Linked DNA regions of Bombyx mori. The protein of the gene in region 2 binds, or shares a complex with, the protein of the main gene of each other region. Links are inferred from orthologs where the notes say so. Each region holds a gene or a part of one and is shown on either strand. Other genes may lie near its edges.

Region 1 (2,477 bases), on a different chromosome or scaffold from region 2:
TAAATATTGGTTTATTGTTCCGACCGCAATAGAACTGTCAAAATATTGTACAAAACATATTCTAATTTGAACTGTGTATGTAGGTTTGGCGTGAAATCTGCGTTACTTGGATCCGCAGTGTACTACACAATAGACAAAGGTGTGTGGAAAGATAGTGCTACGACAGCGGCGATATATGATGAACTTGAAAAAGGAATGTCACCATATGTCGGGGAACTAAAGAGCCAAGTTCCATACGAAGTATGTTCTTAACTCAATTAACTACCTACTTTTAATTTCTTTTGCGGTTATGTTAATTCCAATGTTTATTTAATTACAGCTACCAGCATTACCTTCTAATGACAGGATATCATATTTGTTCAAGTACTACTGGAATTGCGGTGTCAAAGCTACATTTAGATTTTTAGTCGAATTGCCTACCCATACTAGTAATGCAGCTTTCAAGACATACGACTTTATTTCATCATCTTTGGAAACTCCAGAACCACATCAAGAAAAAGATAAATGAAGACTTAGTCAATAATTGTAATTTATTAAATACTTTAAATGTATAATTGACATTTCATCAGATGAATTTAGAGCTGGTGGTAATAAGAAATAAAATGCAACTTTACAAAACAGGCCACAGCTGTGGCAATTTGATTTATTAATTTTCTTGCAGTGTCAATATTTTATAATTTTCTATAACATTCATGCATGTTGAACACAATTTTGTGAAAAATAATAATACACACTGTTTATTTTAACATACAAAATCACATTCCAGTTTAAAAAATGAAACATTCAAATTATTAACTTCGCAAAGGGAAGTATTTGTGCACAACTATATCAGTTCAGGAATGATTAATTTGATTATAATCAAATTTTACCATAAAACGTATTTGCATGTACACAAAAATAACTGCATATTTATTTACCTACAAAATGGCTACATAAAGTAATTAGTACACACTTATGTGAAAGAAATTGGACACTAAAGTTGAAAAGCTATTATGCTATAAAATGTATTCTATAAATGAAGGCATTCTGGTGTCTAAGCCAAGATCAGAGAAGATCTTGGGTTTGTTTGTAGGTACAAAGCTAGATATTTATTCACATAACTATAAGTCAAGATGTGGTTGTCTCAGTAAAAAATTGCACAATTTTTGTTATTTTTGTCCATTTATATTGTGGAAAAATGTTAATATCATTTATTCCTGGGCACTTATGTATTTTTGCTAGGCAGCAGTCTCCACTTCCATGGGCTCTTCAGCTCCTGTTTTCTTTTTCTTCTTCTTGTTAGATTTTGCTGATGAATTTAGAAGGGCCTGTTTGTTAGAACAGAAAAACAATTTATTAGACTATCATCACCTTCATAGCGATTTAAAAAAAAAAAATGATTTCACAGAATGTTGTAATAGTTCAAACTGAAATGTAAAACAAAAACAAGTCAGCTCAAAAAGATTACAAATACTTTACCCTGAGCTTGTTCAAAACACACAATGTGATATGTTATGAAAGATAGCAGGGATAATATGTTTTCTACTTTTATCATGTTGGGTCTTAATCTTGTCTAGAATCAAGTTACAGCTGTTTTTCTGAATTAAAAATAAAATAATGGTAGGTGCTTTATAGAAATTGATGTTAGATGATTAAAAAATGATACATAGCTTTAATATAGACCTTTGTTTTCTATAACAGAATTTAAAAAAAAAACTAAGCCCTTACATGTACCATTCTGTAGATAGCACCCTGATCTGGTCTTAGTTACTGTTCACATTACAATATTTCAATAAACAGATAATAATAGTAAACAATACTGACATTAAGTTCTGGATCCTTGATGCTGCGTTCACTCTTACATTGGCTTTTATCAAAAGGCAAGCCAGTAATACGATGTGTGCCACTAGGAAGCAGAAGAGCCGTGAACTTAAACTGTGCCACCAATTCTCCTGGACGCTCATAGAGAACCTGAATAACAATTTTAATAAGTCAGGTCAGGTTCATAGTATTATAATTAATTTTTATTTTATTTTGGCTTTAGGCAAACTCACACCCAATATGGTGGTTACTGGAGTTGATCTTTACATTAATAAATCAGTCAGTCACTTGAACACACACAGTTGAAAGACTATATTGTTCTGCTACATCAAATATCTTACCTTTGGACCTGAATGCATAGCGTCTTTGCACCAGAAATAGGCCTAATGCTCATATCTATTCATGTCCGTATTTACATATCATTTAATTATTTAGAAAAAATCTCATAAATATGATTTTGTGTAAGGAACATATTTACTTGCCAAAAGTGGCATGACTCAAAATCATCATACAGGACTTGTCACCTGCCAAGCCACAGACGATCAACATTCATATTTACAAAAGAAAGATAAGCTAAACCTGTATTATTCTATGGAGTTAACTGATCTATCTTATACATTCAAGAACAACAGAGATGCCAACAATATCGAGCAGTAATAATATTAATAAAAAAAAAG
Region 2 (3,764 bases):
CAGCTGACTCACCGCGCTTCCTGCTCCTACGGCACGCACCTACACTGCCTCATCACGCAGCATTCAAGCTCAGTCTCGACTCACCGCAGACTACGAGCAGCACTAGCGACAATCACGCAGCAATTCAAGCTCAGCCTCGACTCACCGCAGGCTTCGAGCAGCACTGGCCCTTGCAAGCTAATCTCAGCATGGACAACGCTAACTAAAAATGACACGACCTCCAGTCTCGGAGGGGAGTGATGTGGCGGGTAGCCATCATACAACGCAAGATAATTGACAGATGTCTGAATCTCGCTTACGACATTTTCAAGTTAAAGCGCATATATACAAGTTCCGAACAACAGCATTCGGACCGTCGGTCTACCGAGCAATATCACCAGCTCGATGGAAGATCTTCCCTCGGTCGTTAAGCTTCCCCTACACTAATTTCACCAGGACAGTTAGGTGAGCAAAAGCGCAGCCAGGAGGGGTGGGATTACTTAACAGCTGCCCGAGCGCCTCCGAAGGAGACTTATCAACTCAAGAGTAGCTGCTTTGACAGCTGATCCGACGAGAAACTCAGCGGGCTGATACATAGATTAGGTTGCACGTCGAACTCTTTGTCGAGTTCTATGAGTACGGTTACCGGGGTCCCTGAGCCTGCTACTAGTGTTAGAGCTGAAGGCTTCTAATGCAAAGGTTATTGGATCTGATGGATCCGTAAGGACGTGTCTAGGGCATCAACGGTGACTGGCTCCTGCATGATTAGAATTCGAGGAGTAATCAACGGTGGCACCAATAAGGCGATTATCATGACGCATAGCCTTATTGTATTATTTATTTTATTTTATTTTATTTAATCCATTCAAGAAGATGACACCTTAAGCACAAGTTCAAGTACAAGTTCTCTAGTAAGTTCCTACCTGATTTTATATGGGAAAACCCATACTTTAATGTTACTAACATAACTCGAAACTGCCAATATTGATCAGCCTATATATTAATTTCCATTTAACAAAAGTGAAGGGCAGCGGGCTCGAAATTAGAAAGACCTATAAAACACGCTATAGGTACTGATTTCGACACAGAAACTTCCGGACAAGCAGGAAAGAATGATAAGTGTCCTGATCCTGATATCACCAAAAGCAAACTACATTTCAGATTAATTATTCAATTTTATGGTGTTTAGTTTTAAAATGTGCCGGACGACTACATACACATCTTTGTATAAATCCTTTCACACGGACTTTTGTAAAAATTATACAGCCACATATTTATAATCTATGACCAGGTTTTTCCACTTCCGTTTTCATGATTATCGTTTTCTTTTCTGTCAAATCCACCGTGATCCAAAATCGGAACATTGACATTTGACGCCATATTGCCCGACTTTCAATTACACACAGTAAAGCGTCGGATTGGTGAAATTAGTCGATGAAGCCAACATAATAATAAGTAAACGTTTAAGCAATAGTAATATTCTTTAGCTATAATGTCGGGTGGAAGCAGTAGCAACAGAAATGAGTGTCGTATATATGTTGGAAACTTACCACCGGACATAAGGACAAAGGATATTCAAGACTTGTTTTACAAGTTCGGAAAAGTAACGTTCGTTGACCTAAAGAACAGAAAAGGTCCGCCATTCGCGTTCGTGGAATTTGAGGATCCCAGGTGAGTGTTGAATTCGAAAAGAGAAACGGGCTATCTATATTACTAACGTTGTCCATGTCTGAGTAGCGATAATCATCCCGTGTCAGGTGGACGGAATGTTCAGCTGCCTTTGAAGAAGATTTAAAAGAGCGCATACGTTATGCCGCATACACCGCTATCTGTACCCGACTATAGCGAAATGAACAATTTTATTCAGCGTTAATATAATTTTCCACACCACAGATACAGATACAGATTAAGTAAACATTTTTACTGATAAATGAAAATGGGACTTTAAATTAACAATTAATCATTTATTATTTTATGATTAATTGACAACTAATTAGTTTAAAAGTTGGCACATATTAAAATATATGAAGGGTGGCACAGATTTAATAGTCTGCCAGAGCACCTGTATCCATAAATCTAATAATATTCACCTATGATTTCTAATTATTTCAGAAAAATTAAAATCAATAAAATTTGCTGATTATTGCCAATTATATAAAATTATAACACACATATAAACACACAACATATTAAATTAAAATTACACAATGAGTGATGTCAAAACTGTGTGTGATTGGTTCTTTTATTAGATATGTCCACTTCATGGTGAGTTGTTACTGTCACTAATGAACGTCAAGAATACCAGGTGCACAGCTCAGAGCCTGCCTTGTTTCACTCCTAGTAGAATATACAGTCATATCTACCTAAATTAATCTGAGACAAGTTATTTTAATAAAATCTATTTTGGAATTCAGAGATGCAGATGATGCAGTAAGAGCCAGGGATGGTTACGACTATGATGGGTACCGTCTTCGAGTCGAGTTCCCTCGTGGAGGTGGAGGTGGAGGCTCTCGTGGTTCTCGAGGCGGTGGTGACCGTTGGGGTGGACGAGGGGCAGCACGTGGTCCGCCCGCTCGACGCTCTGAATACCGCGTGCTCGTTACCGGCTTACCGCCCTCGGGTTCCTGGCAGGACCTCAAAGACCATATGCGAGAGGCCGGCGACGTATGCTTTGCAGACACCTTTAAAGATGGATCTGGTGTTGTGGAATTTTTGAGGCATGAAGATATGAAGTATGCTGTTAAAAAGTTAGATGATTCTAGATTTAGGAGTCATGAGGTTAGTTTCTTCCACTTTATTTGAAAATAATTATAAACATAACCTGTAATGTGAAAGAACAGTACTGTTGGTGGATTGTCCCAAATTTTTTATCATTGTTACCCAACGTGGACATAAAAGTTTCAAGATAATCAATTGTGTCAAATACTTTTATAGTTTAATTTGAATTAGTTAGAAGTTTAAGGCTCATGAAGGAGAAATTAAACCATGGGATAGTGCTTAAACTGTTCATTTACAAATAGCTGCTCAAAATCAACAACTGTTATTTTGTGTCAAACTCAGTAGATATCTATAATGTCCAAAATTGCATTCTGTAAAACTCAAGTAAATAAAGTAAGCAAAACAAACTTTTGAATTCTTTAGCTAGGTTGGACTAAGCTGTCTCCTTTTTCTGATTATTTGCAATACCAGTTTTTTTTTTTTTTTTTTTCAATGTTTTTTTCTGCCCATACTTGTTACCAATTTGTTTACTGAATTATAAAAAATGAGATTGTCCTTTCAACATACAGTTAAATATTTTTTTTAAAAAACAATTCACTTGTCAATTATGGTAAAGTAATTTCAGTTTGAGAAAAACTGATATGAGATTGAAAAGAACAAATGGAATGTAAAATGAGATGTGAGGCAACAAAACATCATCTCAGCTTAAGTAAACTGAGTTTGCTTTCATATTGATATTACAAAAGAAATTTGAACCATGGATCAAATTTGAACCATACTTTCTTAATCTTGATATTACAGACCTTATGGTCATAGATGATGAAGATTATAAAATGAATGAAAAGAAAGCTATATTACACTGTAAAAGCGTTTTACAATCAACTCAAGAAATTTAAAAAGCAAGCAGTGTCATGTAGTGCAAGATTTAGACGTCTATTAAATATTCATTTCCAGGGTGAGGTGACATATATACGTGTGAAGGAAGACTATGGCGGTGGCGGCGGTGGCGGTGGTGGCGGCGGCGGTGACAGGTACCACTACATACCATTACTACATTAACTGACTAC

Evidence for each region. The genes of interacting proteins can lie anywhere in the genome.
Region 1: serine/arginine-rich splicing factor 1A (region 2) and proliferation-associated protein 2G4 share a complex: the UniProt entries of both Homo sapiens proteins name them as parts of the ribonucleoprotein complex. The link is inferred for Bombyx mori from reciprocal best matches to the Homo sapiens genes SRSF1 and PA2G4.

The regions. Positions count from the first base shown.
Region 1 is NC_085115.1:12,272,971-12,275,447, reverse strand, and holds the end of proliferation-associated protein 2G4, read right to left. Parts: intron 1,951-2,477; coding exon 1,804-1,950; intron 1,308-1,803; coding exon 1,218-1,307; 3' UTR 610-1,217; downstream 1-609. Other genes in the region: MICOS complex subunit MIC13 homolog QIL1, read left to right, coding at 84-240, 320-508. UniProt on the Homo sapiens protein: May play a role in a ERBB3-regulated signal transduction pathway. Seems be involved in growth regulation. Acts a corepressor of the androgen receptor (AR) and is regulated by the ERBB3 ligand neuregulin-1/heregulin (HRG).
Region 2 is NC_085122.1:430,189-433,952, reverse strand, and holds the start of serine/arginine-rich splicing factor 1A, read left to right. Parts: upstream 1-1,252; 5' UTR 1,253-1,471; coding exon 1,472-1,650; intron 1,651-2,393; coding exon 2,394-2,757; intron 2,758-3,651; coding exon 3,652-3,728; intron 3,729-3,764. UniProt on the Homo sapiens protein: Plays a role in preventing exon skipping, ensuring the accuracy of splicing and regulating alternative splicing.